Stegostoma tigrinum: one gene and its partners. The protein of the gene in region 3 interacts with the protein of the main gene of each other region in a pairwise test. Links are inferred from orthologs where the notes say so. Each region holds a gene or a part of one and is shown on either strand. Other genes may lie near its edges.

Region 1 (7,100 bases), on a different chromosome or scaffold from region 3:
TTCCACCTACAATCCCTTTCCAGGCTGATTATCTGTCTGTCACTATGTAAACTAGTTTAACATCAGGAGCCAGATCAATCATGTAAGTGTGAACATGCTGTGCTGTTTTGGAGGCTGGTGATTGTGCAAAGTGTTGACTTAAAGTCAGCTCTCATCCCTGATATCAGCCGGTAGATGCAGTCAATCCAATTCAGTGTGTGCTTTTTGGTGGCCAAGCCTGAGCGATCCAGCAACATGCAGCAGGTTGAGGGCAGTGCAAGATATTTTATAAAGGGTTCTGTTGTCTTCAGTGTGTAACATAATGTGGGCATCCATCGGATGTACATCAGCATCACTGGGTGAATGACTGTGTGTGTGTGTGTGTGTGTGTGTGTGTGTGTGTGTGTGTGTGTGTGTGTGTGTGTGTGTGTGTGTATTATTGCCTTTTATTGACTAATTTGCATGTTTCAGAATTAGGATGATTTCAGCGTTACAGGGTCTTTCAGTTGCAGTAGTGTAAGAGAATTGAGAGATGTATCATTGCTGACGGTATATCAGCATTGGAAATGTATTAGCGTTGAGTTGGCCCAGTGTTTTATGGTTTGGGGCATACCAGTGGGAAGGTTCATTCAGTGGGAAGATATATCATTGTTTGAGGTTTACCAGTGATATGGGGATTATCAGTGTTCTGGGGTGTCTCAGTGTTTTATTGCAGGGATGTATCAGTGTCTCAGACAGAATGGCAATGGATGGGGCTCAAGGCATAAGCAAGATGAAGATTCTGCTAGGACTAAGACTAAATAAAAGCAAGTAACCATATTCTACTTGGTTAAGGTGAGTCTGGGAAGCTCAGGCCCATGATTTACACATCTCGCAATCTGTGCAAAATCCTACCTCCTCTTGGAGATCAGGATGACCTTGTGCAGAGGTCCCTCCAGCAGGAGCAACTCAAACTCTGAAGTTTGGAGCTTGTGCAGCTGCTGGGGCACAACGGTGTATTGATGAAGGGCTGAGAGGTTGGTGGACAGCACAAACATCGCCAACCCACAGATTAAAGATACGTAGAGAATGGGAATGGGGAACTCCAGTCAGAAGCTCCAGGTAGGTTGTGAGGGAATCATCCAAGTACATTCTATTTGCAAAATGCTGTTCAGTCCTGCAAATTAGTGAGAATGACGGTTCCTCTGTTGAGGCCTGTCAGAGCCAAGGCGTGGGTGGGGTAGGGGAGGGTGGAGTGGGGAAAGGCAATAGTGGGAGGGGATTTATTAGTTTCATAAAGGATTTTAATGAACCAATTATTAAGTGGTAATGGGAACTGCAGATGCTGGAGAATCCAAGATAATAAAATGTGAGGCTGGATGAACACAGCAGGCCCAGCAGCATCTCAGGAGCACAAAAGCTTTTGTGCTCCTGAGATGCTGCTGGGCCTGCTGTGTTCATCCAGCCTCACAATTATTAAGTGGGATAGTTTTAGTGTTCAAGGCAGAGAGGGAACAAAATTCTTAAATTGTATCAAGGGGCACTTTTTTTAAACTGGTGCAATGGAACCCAATAAGGAAAGGCCTTGATATCGTGGGCGCAGGTGGAAGGTGTATCAGTTAGGGGGATCTTTCAGAAATAGTGACCATAACTTAGTTACATGTAGGATGGTAATGGAAAAGGATAAGGATGGGCTAAGAAGGAAACCTATAACCTGGTTAAGGCTAAGTTTACTAAGATAAGACATAACTTGGCCCAAGTAGTCTCAGAACACCTACTTGCAGATAAATCTATCAAAGCAGTGGAAGATATTCAAGGGGGGAGCAGGAGTACGGGGAAAATATGTTTCTGTAAAGAGAAAGTGTAGGAGTAAAACAGCAGAGCTGTGGATGTGAGGAGTCATAAAGTTTAGGATTGAGAAGAAAGGAGAAGTTTATGTCAGATACCCAAGGCTCAGTACAGCAGAGTACCTAGACGATACAAAAAGTGCACGGGGTAATCTTCATCTTAAATGAGGACAGCAAGCAGAGTTAATGAGAAAATAGAATAAAGGAAAACCCAAATGATTAAAAAAAATATATATATAAAGAGCAAAAATAGGAGAATCTTGGGTAATTGGGAAAACACAAGGAAGTGCACCTGTGGAATGTTGGACTAATCAAGAGCTGTTTAAATTGTGGAGGAGGCCTGAGGGGCTGAATGGCCTATTCCTGTTCCTGTTTTTTATTGTATTATGGAAAGTAAATAGGTAAAGATATGGTCCATTAGGAATCATAGAGGAAATGTGTGTGTGGATCTGGGAGATATGGGCCCAGTTCTCAGTAAATGTTTTGCATCAGTCTTTACAGTGGAAAAGAATGATGCAGGTATAGACATCAAAGTGGACGATTATGAAATATTAGAAGAAATTAACATTTAGAGAAAGGAAGTACTGGTGGCTTTAGTAGCTTTACGAATAGATACATTCACAAACCTGTTTGAAACATATCCCAGGCTGTTAAGGGTTCAAAGGGAGCAGATATCAGCTCACTGATGAAGGGTCTAGGCCCAAAACATCAGCTTTTGTGCTCCTGAGATGCTGCTTGGCCTGCTGTGTTCATCCAGCTCCACACTTTGTTATCTCGGATTCTCCAGCATCTGCAGCTCCCATTATCTCAGATATCGGGAGCCCTGAGAGTAATTTTCAAATCCTTGCTGGCCATAGGTGAGGTGCCAGAGGACTGGAGCACTACGAACATTGTCCCGTTACAGAAAAGGGAGGAAAGGACAGATTAGGAAACTACAGGACAGTCAGTCTCACCTCAGTGGTGGGGAAGTTATTAGAAAGAATTGTGAGGGACAGAACAAATCCGCACTTAGACAGACATGGATTAATCAGGGATAGTCAACATGGATCCGTTAAGGGAACGTTATGTTTGACGAGTTTAATTGAATTTTTTGAGGTGATAACCATGAGGGTCGATGAGGGTAATGTATTTGATATGGTCTACTTGGACTTTTACAAGACTTTTGAAAAAGTCCCTCATGGGAAACATATCAAGAAAGTAAGACCCCATGGGATCCAAGCCAAAGTGACACATTGGGCTGAAAATCAGCCACAAATTAGGAAGCAGAGGGCAATGGTAGAGGGATGTTTCTCTGACTGTGACTTCCAGTGGGCTTCCACAGGATTTGATGCTGGGGCATTTGCTGTTTGTATATTAACAATTTGGATTAATGATCAAGAAGTTTTAAAATGAAAGTTATGAAGGTGGTAAACAGTTTAAGGTGAGAGGGGAAGGATCTAAACTGGACCTAAAGGACAACCTTTTTCACTCAGAGGGTGGATTTTGGCTCCCTTGTCCTTTGTATGAAATGAGCTGCCAGCAGAAGTTGTGGAGGTTTTTACAGTTACAGCATTTAAAGGACATCTGGCAGGTATATGAATTAGAAGGGTTTAGAGGGATAGAGACCAAATGCTGGCAAATGGGCCTAGATTAATTTAGAAAAACTGGTCAGCATAGACAAATTGGACCAAAGGATCTGTTTCAGTGCTGCACAACTCATGACTCTATGACTCATCTCCTCCAGGAAAATGGTATTAGTACAGTCGGAGACAATAGGAACTGCAGATGCTGGAGAATCCGAGATAACATGGTGTAAGAGCTGGATGAACACATCAGGCCAGAATTTCTGATGAAAGGTCTAGGCCCAGCCTTCTGCTCCTATGATGCTGCTTGGCCTGCTGTGTTCATCCAGCTCTACACCTTGTTATCTCAGTGTAGTCGGATGTTTTTTGACGAGTGCAGACACGAGGGGCTGAACGGTCCTCTGTTTGTGAGTGTCTGGTGGTCTATAAGAGAGAGGTGTCTCAGTGTTTTGGGGGCCATCTGTCGGAGCGATTTCAGTATTTTGGGTGGTGCCGTGGCACTTCGGGGTGCCTCAACATCTGGCGGGGGCGGTCACATCGCAGCTTCTTTGGGATCCCTGGTACCTTCTGCTCTTCTCAGCATTACTTGCGCGGCGTGCGCCGGCGGTGGGTCCACAGTAGGGGTAGCCTGGGGGCGGGGGGGAGAAGAGCGGGTCGTTGCCGCTTTAAAAGGTGTTTCCCTTTTAAGGCGCTCAGAGCGAGGCTGCCGGTGACGTTGTTGTGTTGTGTGTGCGTCTGCGCGCGCTGAGGTGGGTAGGAGCTCGAGCGGTTTCAGGCGGAGCGACAGCGGCGGAAGGGAGCGGGACGGAACCGAACCGGCAGCGGTGAGGGAGAAGACCGTCGTGTGGGGTGGGGATGGCGGGTAGAGGATTGAGGGAGGAGGGATGGGGGGGGGGGTAACTGAGGGGGTAGTGAGGGTGTGGGGCCCACTGGGAGGTTTTGAGTGAAGGGAGTTTGTGTTTATTTTATGGGGGGCGGAGATGACTGAGGCAATGGGGAGCGGCCGTTTCCAGGAGAGGCCGACGCCGCTCCTGGGCCCGTCCCTAGCCGCCGGCCCTTGCGGTTCAGGGCGGGAAGCAATGCGGAGCCTCCAAGTACCCTTCGCCACTCGGTAGTGGGTGCGTGCAGTTAGGGCTTCCTCTTTTCCCCCGCCCTGGGCCTGCCAACTAGGCCCCTCATCCCCCGGGGTGAGTATACCTCGGCTGGAGCTGAGGGCCCATCCCTGCTGCGGCTGTGTCAGGCGGCAGCACCAACAGCGTTACAGATCCCTGCGAAAACCTGTTCAATTTCCATATAGAGACTGAGTAATCAAATGGTAAACCGGTGTCACTTTTTCCCTTGTGCCTGCGTGAAATGTTTTTTAAAAAAAACCAAAGCTGTATACTGTCAGGATGGGGTAACATTGAGCCCAGTGGTGGGTGTTTGATTCCAGCTGATTTCACACTTATATGTTTGGTTGCGTTCAGCTGAAAAGTCAACCCCCCTCCCCCCCACCTTGCTATTTATGAGAAATCCAACTCTCAACTGGGCAGCAGACTTGACAATCCAGTTTTCTTCTCCATTGTAGATCCACACTTCCAGCACTGAGTAGCGTAAATGATTCTTGCACACTAGTCACTGAGAATCCAGCCTGCATGGGTTTCAAAGCAACCTTGTGTAAATTGCCACAGCATGCAAATCTATTTTAGGTGTGACTGGCTGAATGAAGTTGATGATTGACAGCAAATTGTGGAAGTGCATCTCAGTGACACAGTGGAACTTGAGTTAATGTTTGGGAGATAACAAAATGTGAAGCTGTACAAACCCAGCAGGCTAAGCAGCGTCTCAGGAGCACAAAAGCTGATGTTTTGGGCCTAGACCCTCCTTCAGATTAATTTTTGGGAGATCCTGTTTATTGGAACTAATTACTATAAATCTTTTGCATCCATCTGTATTCTCAAGGTTCAGTTCTGTTGCTTTTCACATTGTTTTTTGTCAGTATTTGTTTTTTTAATGTTTTATGCTTTTACACATTCTTTTGAAGCATCTAAAGCACTGGTTTTAATTTCTTGATCGGATTTAGTTAATCTGATGGACCACTTGAATGCAAACCACTACCATTACTGCAGAAATGCATCCAGAGATGTATAGATCTTAACTACCTTTCTCATTATTTATGTAAAGGGAGTTGTGTCCTCAGTAAATTTTGAAGTCTGTATAATCAAATTTTGTTTACTGCCCAGTGAATGTGATGGGAGGTTTCAACTTATATTTCTTGGCGATAGGACATAGACAAATATAAGGTATGAAAACCTGAAGTAGATGGAACCTACAAGGTTAGTAAAATACTGAATCCTTCAGAAATGAATTTGTGACTTGCAAGCATCTGCTTGGCTTGTGTTTTTTCCAAACCCTCCTTTTGATTTCTGATAACCACTGCATTTGGTGCAAGAGTTCTATAAGCTGACTTTCTGACTGATATTCCCCATCGTGTTTATAATATAAAGACTTAGCATGACAGATTGCAGCATTAGATCCTTTAAAGGTGTGGCTTGTCACGAACACTTTCTCTTACCTGTGATAGTTGTTTGATTGGGGAATGACTGAGGCAATGGGGCGTCTCCTTCCTTATTCTGTAATGTTTTTTGATAGAGCGTCTCTGTAGTCCTTTGGAGGACATAGCTTCATTCTTGAGGTGAACAGTGGAATTTTTGAATATTCAAAGGGGAGAGAAAACATGTTCTAACTCTTTTATATTTGGTTGTGTTGTGCAGTATTGTAGGATTTCAGTAAGTGTTATGATGTAAAACTTTTCATTTGGACTTGTGCTTGGACATTATCTGACAACATAAAAATTTTGTCTTTGTGTTCAAGTAACATTGAAGTATTCCCCTTTAGGCTGAAGTACTGATATTGCTGTATTTAACAGCACAATCAAACATTCACTTACATTGTTTTGTCATAATCAATTTTACCTTGCAATAGCGTGCAGGACTCTTGATGTTCTTGCTTTAGTGTTGAGGTCAAATAACTAACAATTTCTGCTTTATGCTAAACTTGTAACGAGATTGAGCTTGTCTTAAGAGTCTGAGCGGAATGTTGGTTTCAAATCTGTTGGAGTTCAAAATTTGTCTTTAGTGGAGGTTAATCAGCACCAGCTCTTTAACTTTTGAAAGTCACCTGGTAATTTTTTTATAATGTTGGCAACACTGCACTGACTAATATAAAAAGATCAAACGTGGTTTGGAGTTGATTTGCTTTCAGCTTCTTAATGTGTAGAAAACTGGGTTGGTCTTGTAGAAGGCAGTCTAGCACTGATAAGTAGCAACTGCAAGGAGTGATGGCTTCTGGTACCCTCCTCCTCCTCCTCCTCCTCCTTCCCCCCCCCCCACCCCCCAAATAATTGAATATGTAAATAGTCACTCTATGAACCAGTCGCTTTTATGTAATTGAAGAGTGCTGTCGCCACACTAGAAGAGTAGCACAAGAAAAGATCTACGTCATGTGAAAAAATTCTCAAAAGAAATAGGAAAGCCTTTGACTGCCCTGTGGGAATGTGTGGTTAGACTGTAATCTGTATGTTTTTTAAATCAATTTCTTGCCAGAATTTCATTGCTTTTGCTTGAATTACATTATACATGATATTTACAGTATTGGCAAATTGAGCATGGAACATGCTGGTTGGTGGATACTGGTATTAAACAGAACTGACAATTGTTGGAAGTAGTCCTAATCTGAGAGATGTTTAACACAG
Region 2 (7,618 bases), on a different chromosome or scaffold from region 3:
CCCTGTCAATCTTTCCCACTCTTCCACACCACACAAATCAATGTTTCAAAAAGATCATTTCTCATACCTTGAAATTCCAATGAGTAAGACCAAACTTGCTCAATCTTGCCTCATAAAACAATCCCTTCATTCTAAGAATTAAAACTTCTCTGACCTACTTCCAATGCTACTCTATAAAGGAGAATGAAACTGTTGAAAGTCTAGATGTACTCTCACCAACGCCCAGTGCAACTGTAGCAAGATTTCCCTATTTTTTAAACTCAATCCATCTTGCAATCAAAGGCCAACATTCAATTTTGCTTCCTAATTTCTGTATCTGCAATTTTTTTTGGTGATTCATCCATTGAGCCATACAATTTTTTCTGTACCAGAGCATTCTTCCGTTTGAACAGTCTTTATTTCACCCCCCATCCTTCCTGCCAAAATGGACAAGCTCACATTTTCCACATTATACTTCATCAACTAAATTTTTTGCACACTTGCTTAATCTATATCCCTTTGTTGAGTCTTTGCATATTTCTCAACTTCCGATTTTTCCAATGGAGTAATCCTTCACACCTTGCTTCTTATTGTTCCATTTAAGAATAATCTTAGAGCCAACTTTTGCAAATGTACAATAATTGGCACGGGTCCTGACCTGAAACATCAGCCTTCCTGCTTCTCTGATGCTGCCTGGCCTGCTGCGTTCATCCAGCTCTACACCTTATCTCACATTACTATGAATTTTGTTCTATTAAGTGTGAGGAGACAGACACCAAAAGTGGGTCAAAATCCTGGAATTCCTTCCCTAATGGTATTGTAGACCTATCAGGCTCACCACTACATTCTTATGGGCAACTAAAGATGGGCAATAAATACTGTTCAGCCAGCAATGCCACTTCCCATGAATGAATAAAAAAATACGCAGCCAAATTCTGTCGCTCACCCTAGTTACTGAGGCTGAGCAGATTGTTCTCCATTTTTATGTCACATTTGACAGAGATAAGTCCCAACTATAGATTGCCACCATCCCAAAAGCCTATTTCCACCTCCAAGACATCACCCAGCTTAGCCTATCTTCCATAATCGAGACTATTCATTACTGTCCTAATTTACATAAATTTATATTTATCTTCTTAAAACTCTTACAGGATGTGATGCTTGTTATGGGAAAAATTAACATGTATTGCCTATTCTGAATTTTTTTTCCCCTCAGTTACTTACATTAGCTCCTGGTCAAGCAATGCCTCAATTTTAAAATTCTCAGCTTGTTTTCAAATCCGAGCGTGTTCATAACCCGCTGCTTTTCTAATGTGAAAACCGTACAATCTGCTCCAATGTTTCTAAATCCCAGCATTTTCAATTTTAATTAGACCATTACTGATAGTTACGTCAGCTACCAAATTCACAAACTCCCCACAAATTCAAGAATTTTTGTTTGCTATTACCCCAATGTTGAGATGTTACAGTCCTCAAAGAAACTAAGCAGTGTTTCAGAGATTGTAGGTACTGCTGATGCTGGAAGAAGGTCCAGACCCGAAACGTCAGCTTTCCTGCTCTTCTGATGCTGCTTGGCCTGCTGTGTCCATCCAGTTCTATACCTTGTTATCTAAGTACGTGTTCCAGCGCTTTCCAAGGTGGTCAGCGTAAATAAAGTCTAAACTTAAAACTGTTGATCCCTCTTGGCTGTCATATTATTCACACAGGAAGTATACAACTTGTCATGCTTTCATCTCCTGACTTAAATATTTGAGAGATCGCTTCCTGCCATTTTCAACATACATAGTAAGTTTGGCAAAACTTCCTTTCGTTCTCCGGTCAGAAGAAGAGCGCTACATTTTGATTAACTAACTCGGTAAGCTCTAACAAAATAAAAGGACACCTATGCAAAGTTTTCCAAACCTTTCCAATACATTTGAGTATTCGTGTACAACAAAAAAAAACCTCAACACTAAACACTCAGTTCCACCCCAACACACGCACGCAAATATAGGCACGCTTAAAAATAACAAGCTTTCGGCAAAGAACTTCCTTTTTTGGGGGGGGTTCAAGTTTGTTGCAGAAGTATCCGATTACGAGTGCAGCCTATTTCAAAAGGACCGAGGAGCTAAAATAGTGCTAAATAATTAATATTTCAGCATTCGAGTTGGGACGCGACTGAACATTTCGGTGAATACTTGCATGAAACAGTGCAGAACGCCTGTGAACCAGCAGCATCCGCCCTGCCTGCCTCAGGGGATACTTTCCCACTAAGGTGGGGCTCCTGTTTTACTTTAACTTCAACAATATACACTATCAATTAGAGTCAACAACAGTATCTAATAAACAATATCCGGAGGGGGAATGGAACCGAATAGTAGAAGGGAAACATTAATTTTGAATAAAAAGCCGGTTTCTCCGAAGAGTCCGGAACATCTCAATGAATTAATGAACCACAAGTTTTCATTTCCGCTATCGAACTTCAATACAGTCCCGGGGGTGGGGGTGGGTCTCGGCCTTGGCCCCGAGAGGGGGGCAGTGGTCGTGGCCCCGGCCCCGGGGGTAGACGGTGGTCGTGGCCCCAGGAGGGACGGTCACAGGGTTGATGGACGCCGGTCGATCTCAGTCCTCTCTCTCCATCCTCCGCAGATCGGGGCCCAGCAAAAGGGATGTCCGGCGGCACAAGCACCGGGAGAGGAGCCGTCGCCGCCGCCTCGAGCAGAAAGCGCTCCGCCATCTTATAGGCAGCGGCCGCAGCTCGTCTCCTGGACCGTCTATCCTCGTCCGCAAACTCCGGGCCGACGCCCTGCCCCGCTCCGCCCGGCCAGGGCCCATCCCCGACCTCAGTCTCTCACAACCAACCTACCCACCCACCCTCGGTCACCTCAATCATTCCCCGTCCCACCTCATCACAGGCCCCGGACTCTTAAACCGGGCTTTTCCGCCATCGGCCGCTACCGCATCGCCGTGTTCTCACTCACCTGGCGGAGAGAGGGATCGCTGTCGCTATCTCTCGCTGCGATACTGCGGCCGGCGGTCACTCTGAAGCCGCCTCCGCTCCCGATTCCGTCGGCAGCCGTACACAGGCTCCCCTGACGTCAGGCGCAGGCGCTCTCCCACCGTCTCTGTCCATCACTGCTCGAACTGCATTTCCATCCCTCCCTCTGTTCAAACTGCACTTCTATCCTCCCCTCTGTTCAAACTGCACTCCCCTCCATCCCCCCCCCCGTTCAAACTGCACTCCCCTCCATCCCCCCCCCGTTCAAACTGCACTCCCCTCCACCCCCCCTGTTCAAACTGCACTCCCCTCCATCCACCCCCCCTGTTCAAACTGCACTCCCCTCCATCCACCCCCCCGTTCAAACTGCACTCCCCTCCATCCCCCCCGCCTCTGTTCAAACTGCACTCCCCTCCATCCCCCCCCGTTCAAACTGCACTCCCCTCCATCCCCCCCCTGTTCAAACTGCACTCCCCTCCATCCCCCCCGTTCAAACTGCACTCCCCTCCATCCCCCCCGTTCAAACTGCACTCCCCTCCATCCCCCCCCCGTTCAAACTGCACTCCCCTCCATCCCCCCCCGTTCAAACTGCACTCCCCTCCATCCCCCCCCCGTTCAAACTGCACTCCCCTCCATCCCCCCCCCGTTCAAACTGCACTCCCCTCCATCCCCCCCCCGTTCAAACTGCACTCCCCCCCATCCCCCCCCGTTCAAACTGCACTCCCCCCCATCCCCCCCCGTTCAAACTGCACTCCCCCCCATCCCCCCCCGTTCAAACTGCACTCCCCCCCCATCCCCCCCGTTCAAACTGCACTCCCCCCCCATCCCCCCCGTTCAAACTGCACTCCCCTCCATCCCCCCCCCGTTCAAACTGCACTCCCCCCCATCCCCCCCCTGTTCAAACTGCACTCCCCCCATCCCCCCATCCCCCCATCCCCCCATCCCCCCCATCCCCCCATCCGTTCAAACTGCGCTTCTCTCTATCTATCCCTCCCTCTGTTCAAACTGCGCTTTCCTCCAGCCCTCTCTCTATCCATCCTTCTGTTCAAACTGCACTTCCCTCCATCGCTCTCTTTCTCCATCCCTCTGTTCAAACTGCACTTCTCTCTATCCCTCCCTCTGTTCAAACTGCATTCCCATCCATTCCTCCCTCTATCCACCCTTCACTACAGACTACTTTCCTCCATTCTTCACTCTCTGTCCATCCCACTCTTCAAACTGCACTTCCCTCCATCCGTCCTTCTATCCATCTTTTTCTGCAGACTGCACACCTCTGTACCTCTGTCTGTCCGTTCCTCTCCTAAAGCTGCACTGCCCTCCATACTTCTCTCTGTCCATCTCTTTTTATTTTAAAATTTCCTTCTCCTGCTCCTCTGATGCTGCCTGGCCTGCTGTCTTCATCCAGCTCTACACCTTGTTAACTCATACTCTACCATCAGCAGCTCCTACCATCACTTCTCTGCATCTATCTCTCGTTCCAATGCTTTCTTCAAAATTGCACATCCCTCCCTAATCCTTTCCTTCTGTCCACTCTTTTCCTCTGACTGCACTCTCCTCTATCTCTCTCTCTACTTCCATTCTTCTCTTCAAACTCCACTTTCCCATCTCACTCTGTCTGTCCTTATCTCCCTTAAAACTTCACTCCTGTCCATCCCCCTCTCTCCCCATACTGCGTGCTTGTTCCATCCCTCGCTCGGTCCGTCCCTCTCTTCCAACTACACTTCTCTCCATCTGTCTCTCTCTCTCTCTCTCTCTTCAAACTGTACTTTCCTCCATCTGTCTCTATCCATCCCTTACTTAAAACTTTACTTCCCTCCAACACTGTCGCTGTCCATTGCTCTCATCAAACCGTACTTCCCTCTGCGCCTATATTTGTCCATCCATCTCTCTGCCCATCCCTCTACAAACAGCATTTCCCTCTATCCCTCTCACTGTCTATCCTTTTCTTCAAACTTCACATCTATCATTCCATTCTTCTATCTGTCCATCAGTCTCTTCCAACTTCATATCCCTCCATATCTCTCTGTCCTTTCATTTCTTCAAACTTCACTTCCCTCCGTCTATTTCCCTGTCTATTCTTCTCTTCAAAGTGTACTTTTCTCCATCGTTCTATCTGTCCATACATCTCTTCAAGCGCTACTTCCCTCTATCCCATGCTTCATCCATCCCTTTCTTCAAATTCCATCTCTTCAAACTGCACTTCCCTCTATCTCTCCGACTGTCCATCCCTCTCTTCAAGCTTCCAGCATTTTCATCAAAAATTCTGAGCATAAATGAACAGACTCCAAATGCATATGTAGAGGAATTTACATTTTTAAAAGGAGATCGCACACTCATGTCCATTCCTGTAATTATTAACATTTGTTTTGGGCTACAGTTATAATACAAAATTTGAGCTGTATGTAAAAACCAAAAGAACTGCAAATGCTGTATATCAGGAACAAAAACAAAGTTGCTGGAAAAGCTCAGCAGGTCTGGCAGCATCTGTGAAGGAAAAAAACAGAGTTAATATTTCTTGTCCGGTGACCCTTCCTCAGAACAGCTGTATGTAACTTGACCTGTGTTTTTAAGGCTTTTACTGAGCTATTCCCTGTGAAAACCAGTCTATTCTGTTTTCTCAGGTGAAGATTGTGCTCAGTGCAGATTGATTGCTTCAGTATCTGACGAGTTGCAATAAGTGCTGAGCATTGTCAATTCACCAATGAACATCCCCATTTTTAATCTAATGATGGAGGGATGGTTGCTGAAGTATCGGCTGATGGTTAGGGCCTCAAACATGACTCTTAGGAGCTCTGACATGATTGGTCTCCATTAATCACAAGTATCTTTCTTTATGCTAGCGATTACTCGAATCACCTAAGAGATTCCCCAGGATTCTCAATGACTCCAGTTTTGTTATGGCTTTTTGATGCCATTCTTTCTCAAATGATGTCAAGGGCATTCACTTTTATCTCACCTCTGGAGTTCAGCTCTTTTGTTCATTTTTGCTCAAGGCTGTAATGAGGTCACGATTTGACTGGCCCTGGTGGAACGTGATCTGAACATCAGGTTATTCCTTTGCAAGTACCTCCTTGAATATGATGATGACTCCTTCAATCACTTTGCTGAGGTCCATGAGTGGAGGATTAAGCAGTAACTGGCCAGGTTAAATTTGTCTCGCCTTCTGTGGTCAGGGCTTACCTGAACAGTTTTCTACATTGCCATGTGGCTATATGGGAACAGCTTGGCTAGGGGAATGTCTAGGACTGGAACAAAAGTCTTCCATACTATTCCAATAATGTTGAAGGCGTGCATAGATTTTGCAGTATTCCATGCCTTCAACTGTTTCTTTTGCACTGATGAACTATACTTCCTTGTACTCGAGGATAGGATATTTGTCCAGCCTCTCCTACTGTTGATGTTTAATTGTCAACCACGATTCAAAGAACAAAGAACAATACGGGCCAGGAACAAGCCCTTCAGCCCTCCAATCCTGTATCACCATATTTTGCCCTTTCACACTGAAACTGTCTTAAAGGATTTATATCCCTTTATTCCCTTCCTATTCATGTATTCATCCAGGTACTTCTTGCTGCTATTGTGCCTGCTTCCACCATTTCCTCTGGCAGCATGTTCCAGGCACTCCACCTTTTTTGTAAAAATGTGCCTCACACATCTCTTAAACTTCCCTCTTTACACCTAGAACATGTATCCCCTAGTAACTGACCCATCCATCCCAGGAAAATGCCTCATACTTTCCACTCTATCCATACCATTTACAATCTTATAAACTTCTATTAGATTGCCGCTCAACCTCCTGCATTGCAGTGAAAACAAATCCAGTCTATTTAACCTTTCTACATGGCTGGCAATATCCTAGTAAACCTTTTCTGTACCCTCAAATTATTTACATCGTTCTGGTAGTGTGGTGACTGGAACTGTATGCAATACTCCAAGTGTGGACCAACTAAAGTTCTATAGAACTACAGCATAACATATCTATTCTTTTACTCAATGCTCCTTCCAATGAAGGCAAGCATGCCATAAGCCTTTTTTACTACCTATGCTGCTACCTTCAGTGATTCCTGGACCTGCACACCCAGATCCCTCTGCATATCAATACTTCTAAGGGTTCTGCCATTTGCCGTATAATTTCTACCTGTGCTTCACCTTCCAAAATGCATCACCTCATATTTGTCCGGATTAAACTCCATTTGCCATTTTGCTTATGACTGATCTATATCCTGACAATCCTCCTCACTGTCCACAACTCCACCAGTCTTTCTATCATCTGCAAAGTCACCAGTTAGACCACCTACGTTTTCCTCCAAATCATTTATGTAGATTGTGAATAGCACTGATCCCTGTAGAACACAACTAGTCACAGACATCCATTCTGAAAAGCATCCTTCCATTGTTTCCCTCTATCTCCTAGAACTAAGCCAGTTCTGTATCCATCTTGCCAACTCACCCTGATACCATGTAACTTGGTGCTGGTGTTGGACTTTGGTGGACAAGATCAGAAGTCACATGACACCTTGTGTATTAGTCTGCCATGAGGGACCTTGACAAACGCTTTACTGTAGACAACATTGACTGATTTCCGCCCCCATCAATCATCCGCATCACCTCCCCAAAAAACTCAATCTATCAGTGAGGCATGACCACCCCTGCACAAAACCA
Region 3 (8,080 bases):
GCGGGCCAAATGGCCTGCTTCCACACAGTAGGGATTCTGTGATTCTAAAGGATGAGAAAATTGGCTTTAATTTCCCCAAGCAAAATGACTAGGCTGGATGGTCTCTCTGGATCCCTGTGTAGTGCAGCTGAGGGCAAATTTCAGGTGACAGCAGAACCAAACCAGGCTTGTGCACTCCAAGTTCTGTTGGGGTGATGCATTGGAGCTGTGTTGACTTGAACCTCTGAGATGCCTTGCTCGGATTCACTGCCATCAATCCTTCTCATTCTGGGTTACCAATGCGATATGGGCAACAAAGCATCCATGAAGTCTTCAGCAGAATATTTCATAAAGGTTTATTACTTTGTACTTACAATGTCTGAGATACATGACGGTTTCCCAAGGGATCAGTTCTTTCCATCCTGCTGGGTAGAGTTTATCTCAGGATATCAGTTAACCCAGCCAGGTACAGGCAGCCTTATATATAAAACAACAACAACAGAAGTTGCTTGAAAAGCTCAGCAGGTCTGGCAGCATCTGTGAAGGAAAAAACAGTTAACGTTTCAGGTTCAGTGACCCTTCTGCAGAGGTAGGATTGTGTGTTGCCCTTCCAGGCTTGCCTATAGGATCATATAGAATCATATAGCTCACAAGGAGGCCATTCACCCCATCTCACCTGGACTGACTACTCAACTGATCCAATTTCCCCTTGATCCTGCAAACAGTTCCTTTTTCAAGGGGGAAGCCACGTGCTGTCTCTGCCTTAGGGCGGCTGGTCAGACACACATAGGTTGTTTTGGATCATTGACCCAGTCAATGAACACGGGGTGGGTTTGTGGAGGTGAAGAGAGAGAGAAGGGGGGTAAAAATACTCACGAACCCCCCCAACACCCCTCCCCCCACAACCAGCCAACCCTACAGTGAATGATAGCTATTTCTCAAGAGCATTGTCACTGCTGTGCTGTCGAAAAAGCAGCAGCCAAGTTGTGCACAGCAAGATCCCACAAGGAACTGAGGGATATTTGACAAATTTGAGGCAATTTTCCCCTACCAGATCTCCTTTCAAAACAGGATCCTGCACACTCATGTGAGCAGGTGATGGAGGCTTTGGTTTTTAAGTCTGCTGAGAGAGTGCGCCTCCCCCCCCCACCGCAGACTCCCTCAGTGTGGCATCTCCGTGCCACCAACTGATTCTATTGTTCTACCCTCTCAAGGAATTATTGCAATATTTATCTCTCCACTAATACCACAAAAACAGGACCAACTGACCTTTTGCCTCACACTGTTCATGGGATCTTGCTGTGCGTAAACTGGCTGCCATGTTTCCTACATTTCAGAATTACCTCATTGGCTGTCAGGTGCTTTACGACATCATCAGGTCATGAAAGACATTATATAAATGCAATTTCTTTATTTACTAGCTTCCTCGTACCACCTCCCAGCTGAGAAAGTGACATTTTATAATCGCAGTTGCTGAGTATATTCAAGAAGCAGCTCGACAAATTCTTGAATATATAGAATGAGGGTCATGCATGAAAATGAAGTTGAAGTCAAAGATCAGTCGTGATTTTGTTGAATTGATGGAACTGGTCCTAAAGGACAAATGACCCACTTCAGCTCCTGTTTATTTAGTTCTTCGGCTTGAAGGGAATGTTGTTCTGGAGCTGACCATAGGGGGCAGCAAAAAGCCCAAAATAACATTGTGCATTTATAAAGCAACCTCATAGCAGACGGATTGAGGATGGAAACTCCATGAACATCACATTCTGTTAACACATCAGGTTTATGTGAGGAAAAGGAAGAGATTCTGAAATGAAATTAAGAGGCTCCCTTTCAGCTTCAGTCATAGAGTCATACAGCATAGCAACAGACCCTCTAATCCAACCAGTCCACGCCAACCATTTTCTCAGACTAAACAAGTCCCACCTGCCTATGCTTGGTGCATACCCCTCCAAACCCTTCCTATAAATTTATCCAAATGTCTTTTAAATGTTGTGTCTGTACCTGCATCCACCACTTCCTCTCGGAGTTCATCCCACACATGAGCTACTCTCTGTGTAAAAATGTTGCCCCTCACATGCTTTATAAATTTTTCTCCTCTTGCCAATAAAAATATGTCCCCTAGTTATGATCTCCCCCACCCTGGGGAAAAGACCCTTGTCATTCACCTTATCTATGCCCGCCGTGATTTTATAAAACTCAGTAAGGTCACCCCTCAACCTCCTATGTACCAATGGAAAAATGTCCCAGCTTATCCAGCCTATCTTTATAACTCAGACCTTCCATTCCCAGCAACATTCTGGTAAACCTTTTCCGAACCCCCTTCAGTTTGATGATATCCTTCCTGTAGCAACCCTCGTAGCTGTCTGTTCCTCAGCACCTCATCAGGCGTCGAGTTTTGTATCTGTCGAGTTTTTTTAAAAACATATTGGTTCTGCTGCTGTCTCCAGACATTTGGCAGCATTTTCACCTGCTTGGCAGATGACACTGGACTGGGTTTGTATCAAGGATGGACTGAAGACGCTAAAGCGACCCTCTGGACTATGCCAGTCAGCATTTGTAGCAATTTTCCAGTACAGAATTGCTTGAAGTACACAGCTCTAGAAACTGTCAAGGAAGCTAGTACAGTTTGGATTCCAGAGTAGTTGGAGCAGCAAATGTTGTCATATTTAAAGTAAAAACAGAACTCTTGCATTAGCATGGAGTTTTTCATAGCTAACAGATGTCCCAAAGTACTTTACAGCCAATTTTTTTTTAAGTGTAGTGTCTGCTGTAATATAGAAAACATGGCAGCTTTTTTGGACCCAGCAAATTCCCATAAAGAGCAATGTAATTAATAATGTAATCACAAAAGGGAGGTGATTGTGTAGTGGTTTCTCCTCATGGATTAATAATCTAGGATTCTAGTCTTAATGCAGAGACAAAAAAAAACTGCAGATGCTGAAATCCAAAGCAGACAAACAGGAGGCTGGAAGAGCACAGTAGCATCTAAAGGAAAGGAGCAGTCAACGTTTCAGGTATTAACCTCATTTAGGCCGGTCCTGAAGAAGGGAAATACCCGAAACATTGACAGCTCCTTCCCTCCAGATTCTTCCTGGCCTGCTGTGCTCTTCCAGCCTCCTGTTTGTCGATCCAAGTCTTAATGTGCTGGTTTAAATCCGATTATGAATTTAAATCCAGTAAAATCTGATCATGTGACTGTTATTATAAAAGCCTGCTTGGTTCACTTTAGGGAAGGAAATCTGCCATCTTTATCTGGCCAGACCCATAAGTGACTCCAGACCAACAGCAGTGTGATTAACATTGATGGGCAATAAATGTGTTAGTGATACCCACATCCATGGAAATATAAAGTGCTTTTGTGATGTTGATTGAGGGATAAATATTGTTCACTGCTCTGGAGTTAAATGCCCTGCCCTTCTTCATGATAATGCCATGGGATCTTTTACATCTCCCTGAGCAAGTAGGTGAGGACTCAGATCCATGTCCTGGCTGAAGACAGCGCTGCCAATAGTGTAGCACTCCCTCAGTGGATTGTTGTACTCAAATACTGGAGTGGGGTTTATTCCCAGGACCCCGTAATTCAGAGGTAAGTGGGCTACCTGCTAAACCAATATTCAACTCCGTGTATATCTAGGCACCTGAGTAACTTCTCTGTGTAATTTACCCTTTATTTGTTTATGGAGCACAGTTGTTGCTGGCAGGGTCAACATTTTATTGCCCTCAAGAAGTTGCCTTCTTAAAACTTTTGCAGTCCCCACAGTGTAGCTGCAGTCACAACAGAACATTAGCCATTCTTTCAAAGGGAATAGAGTATGAAAGTAGAGATAATGGGAACTGCAGATGCTGGAGAATCCAAGATAACAAAGTGTGGAGCTGGATGAACACAGAAGGCCAATGCTGCTGAGATGCTGCTTGGCCTGCTTTGTTCATCCAGCTCCACACTTTGTTACCAGAGTTTGGAGGTAGGGAGGCTTTGCTGAAAGTATACAGGGCACTAGTGAGAACACATCTGAAATTCTGTGAATAATTTTAAGCCCTCTTGCAGGAAAGATGTCATGACATTGGAGACAATCCAGATAGGATTCACTAGGCTTATACCAGGTATGTCTTAAGAGGGGAGGTTGAGTCGCTTGGGTCTGTATTCATTGGAGTTCAGAAGAATAAATGGTAACCTTATTGAAACATACAAAATTCTTACAGGGCTTGTCAGGGTAGACGTGAAGAGATTATATACCCTTATGAGAGAATCTAGGACCAGAGGGCATAATGTCAGAATAAAAGATCACCCATTTAACACAGAAATGAGGAGGAATTTCTTCTCTGAATCAGTGGAGTTCTTTACCATAGAAGGCTGTCGAAGCTGGGGTGTTAAGATAATTCAAGGTTCAGATAGATTTTTAATCAGCAAGGGAATCAAAGGTTACAGCAGGAGAGTGGCGTTTGAGGGAATAGAGGGATATGGATCCTGTAAGTGAAGGCAGTTTTATTACAGAAGGGCAAAATGTATCAGTGCAGGCTTGGAAGCTGAAGGTACTGTTCCTGTGCTGTATTAATGATCAGATTAGCTATGATTTCATTGAATGGTAGAGCAGATGGGCTGAATGGCCTAGTTCTGTACTGAAAACAAAAACAAATTTCTGGAAATCACAGTGGATCAGGCAGCATTCTGTGGAGGGAGAGAGCGCTTCAGATGATTCTGCATCAGAGTTCTGATGCTGCCTACCCTGCTGTGATTCCCAGCTTATTCTTGTTAGTCAGCTAATTGCCAGCATCTGCAGCAATCTGCTGCTGCATCGGGCCGACTTGTTTTCTTGCCTGTGACGATCAGTGCGTCTTTGACGAAGAAACCCACAGGGCTCCATCGAGTGCATGAACTTCGCAGCATCTGCCTTAGTTTCGATGAGGACGGGGTTATGTTTGTGGACTCAATCCAGTCCGGCGCTCTGTGAAACTCCGGTCCGGAGTTGGGAGGTTGCACAGCACTGACATCATGGTCCTGCCTCTCCTGGGCAGGGTGTTATCGCAGTGACTCCCTACCACATCTCATTTCGGGCTGGAAGCCGCGCTGCAGTGTATTTCGGACAGGGGGCCAGGAGATGGAGTCGTGCCTTCCCTTGTAATAAAAGGCTGGGGGCAGCCTAGCGCTGTGGTACAAGCTGTCAGCGCCCCCCCCCCCCCCTCTCCAGCCCCCGGGGCTGGAGAATGTCTCTCTCACCAGCGATTTAAACCAGAAAACTCTGAGTGAGTGAGTGAGAGGGCTCCGAGAGAAACCAGACTTCGCCCATGGTCCGCCTGATGTGGCCGGAGCTGCACAATGAGTGCGCGGCCAGCGGGCACAAGATGTTTGACGGCTCCCGGCGCCTGAAGCAGATCTGGGACGGCGTGAGGCTCGAAGTGACGGGAGATGCCAGCTCTGTGGTTCTGAACAGCTTCACCCAACTGGACCCCGACCTGCCCCTCACCGAGGTACACTTTCTACCCTCCCTCAACCCGCACCCCCCCCCCCACGACCAAAAAAACAAAAACTTTATCACACAAAGATGCTGGAGTGCGAAACAAACAAATCAGAAATTGTTGGAGAAACTCAGCAGGTCTGGCAGTGTCTGTGGGTGAGGAAGGCAGGGTTTAATTGCTGGAGAAGCTCAGCAGGTCTGGCAGTGTCTGTGGGTGAGGAAGGCAGGGTTTAATTGCTGGAGAAGCTCAGCAGGTCTGGCAGTGTCTGTGGGTGAGGAAGGCAGGGTTTAATTGCTGGAGAAGCTCAGCAGGTCTGGCAGTGTCTGTGGGTGAGGAAGGCAGGGTTTAATTGCTGGAGAAGCTCAGCAGGTCTGGCAGTGTCTGTGGGTGAGGAAGGCAGGGTTTAATTGCTGGAGAAGCTCAGCAGGTCTGGCAGTGTCTGTGGGTGAGGAAGGCAGGGTTTAATTGCTGGAGAAGCTCAGTAGGTCTGGCAGCACCTGTGGAGAGAAATCAGTTAAAGTTTTGGGTCCAGTAGATTTGGAACGTTAACTCTGATTTCTCTCCAGAGATCGCTGCAAAAGCTCCGCAGGTCCAGCAGCAATCTCTGTATTTGTATCTGATTTGCTGCATCAGCAGTTCTTTCGGTTTTTAACAGAATTCAATTGCTGGAAAATTTCAGCAAGTCTGGGCAGTGTATAAAGAGAGAGAGAGAGCGAAAGCAGACCTAATGTTTTCTGAGCTCGATGACCCTTTTTCAAGAACTGGAGTCAAAACATTAACCCTGCTTTCTCTCTTCACATGCTGCCAGACCTGCTGGGTTTCTCCAGCATTCTCTGTTTATTTTTGTTTGTTACAGTTCTTTCTTACTTTCTGGTAAGGAAACATCTCGCTTTCTCTCTCACCCAGCTCTGCAGTTGCTATGGAGATGTTACTGATTGCTGCACTGTTTTGCTGATGAGATGATATTTTGCCTGTGGGATATGAGGCATAGTAATAGCACTCTGTTATTGCTGTATGTACCGTCCCATGTTTAACTTTGCCCTCTGTAATCCTGAACGCAGTTGTGTGATTTTAAAATGAATTGCTGTGGGTGCTGGAGAAATCAGACCACAGTCGGAATGCTCACTCCGTTTCTCTGTCCACGGGTGCTGCTGAATTTTTCCAGCACTGTCTGTTTTGTTTATTTTTCATGTTTTGTTTTGAACAAGCACGAGAATGGGGCTTGGGAGGGGTCTAGCAAACACACTGGAGGAACTCAGTGGGTCTGGAGAGAGAGAGAAACAGAGTTAACACTTTGTGTTTTCTTCAGACTGTTCTGGCTGTTTCAAGTTTCCAGTGTCCGCAGTACTTTGCGTTTATTATAAGGGGGTGGGAGTAGTTGTGAGGACATGACCCATATTTGAACCCCCACACAGACACACACGTTACCACTTTGCTCCAGATTGAACATATCATATTCTCAAAAGGGAATGATTCATATACATCAAACACCGTGTGGTGTTATTTTTGCCTCACCTCATAGAATAATTATTTCTGAAGTGCAGGGATTTATACGCATTCTGCAGTAAAAGGAGCTTTTGACCTCTGAGTGTATCGAAATCATAAATCCGTTTATAGGGAAATGTTTTATGGTATTGCAGCAGCATTTACTGTCACCCAGGGCCTCTTCTGACATCTCAGATGATGGGTAGTGAGGAGACAATTAGATCTAACTCGCTCAGCCAGGAGTCCTGCACTGTTGAGCTGAGTGTGGAACTGGCAGCATCTGAGCCAGAGGGTTAGACTTTTAACCTTGATTCACAACTAACACCCGAGATCTCAAACTGTCCTTGAGTGTCTGGGAATGTGTGGGGCGTCTGCACTTTTTTTAAAAAACATATATGGCATGACATATATGGAAACATTCACTGCGGTTTTCTGCCTTTGTACTTAGTGAGGAGAAAAATGCTTCAAAACATAATCTCGTGTTGTCTCCAAATCTCATATGTTGAGTCTGTTGGAGGTTAACATCAGGGCTGCGCATCCTGCAGCCTTAGCCAGTTTTATTTAGTTAATGGCCTTTGAAGATTTCATGGTCTTCTAGGAGCAAAGGAGAACGAATTAGGCTATTCAGCCCCTCAAGCCTGTTCCTCATTCTAGATCCACAGAATCCCTACAGTGCGGAAGCAGGCCATTCGGCCCATCTTGTCCACACTGATCTTTCAAAGAGCTTCCCACACCAGACCCAGATCGTGGCTGATCATCTACCTCAACATCATATTCCTACGATATCCCCATATCTACAGATATAGTTAGTAACCAGAAATTGCCCACCCCTAATTGCCCTCAAACTGAGTCAGAGGTCACATGAAAGTCACCCACATCACTGTGGGTCTGCAGTCACATTAGGCCAGACCAGGTAAGGATGGCAGATTTCCTTCCCTGAAGGACATTAATGAACCAGATGGGTTTATAACAGTAATTGATATCAGTTGTTACAGTCACAACAACTGAGACTAACACTACATTTCACATTTAAACTGAATTTAATACAGTCACTTGTCATTATGGGATGTGAACTCATGTCAGCACAGCATTAGCTTAAGCCTCTGGATTTCTAGTCCAGTAACATTACCACATTACTAACTAAACACATTACTGCCCT

The links.
Region 1: the proteins of ral guanine nucleotide dissociation stimulator-like (region 3) and rap1aa interact in a two-hybrid assay, tested with the Homo sapiens proteins (3 studies listed by BioGRID and IntAct). The link is inferred for Stegostoma tigrinum from reciprocal best matches to the Homo sapiens genes RALGDS and RAP1A.
Region 2: the proteins of ral guanine nucleotide dissociation stimulator-like (region 3) and ras-related protein Rap-1b interact in binary tests that used the Homo sapiens proteins (3 or more experiments, as listed by UniProt). The link is inferred for Stegostoma tigrinum from reciprocal best matches to the Homo sapiens genes RALGDS and RAP1B.

Annotation. Positions count from the first base shown.
Region 1 is NC_081374.1:5,400,357-5,407,456, forward strand, and holds the start of rap1aa (RAP1A, member of RAS oncogene family a), read left to right. Parts: upstream 1-4,080; 5' UTR 4,081-4,191; intron 4,192-7,100. UniProt on the Homo sapiens protein: Counteracts the mitogenic function of Ras, at least partly because it can interact with Ras GAPs and RAF in a competitive manner. Together with ITGB1BP1, regulates KRIT1 localization to microtubules and membranes.
Region 2 is NC_081371.1:37,393,268-37,400,885, forward strand, and holds the start of ras-related protein Rap-1b, read right to left. Parts: upstream 3,073-7,618; 5' UTR 2,940-3,072; intron 1-2,939. UniProt on the Homo sapiens protein: GTP-binding protein that possesses intrinsic GTPase activity. Contributes to the polarizing activity of KRIT1 and CDH5 in the establishment and maintenance of correct endothelial cell polarity and vascular lumen.
Region 3 is NC_081382.1:36,461,600-36,469,679, forward strand, and holds the start of ral guanine nucleotide dissociation stimulator-like, read left to right. Parts: upstream 1-5,030; 5' UTR 5,031-5,265; coding exon 5,266-5,448; intron 5,449-8,080. UniProt on the Homo sapiens protein: Functions as a guanine nucleotide exchange factor (GEF) activating either RalA or RalB GTPases and plays an important role in intracellular transport. Interacts and acts as an effector molecule for R-Ras, H-Ras, K-Ras, and Rap.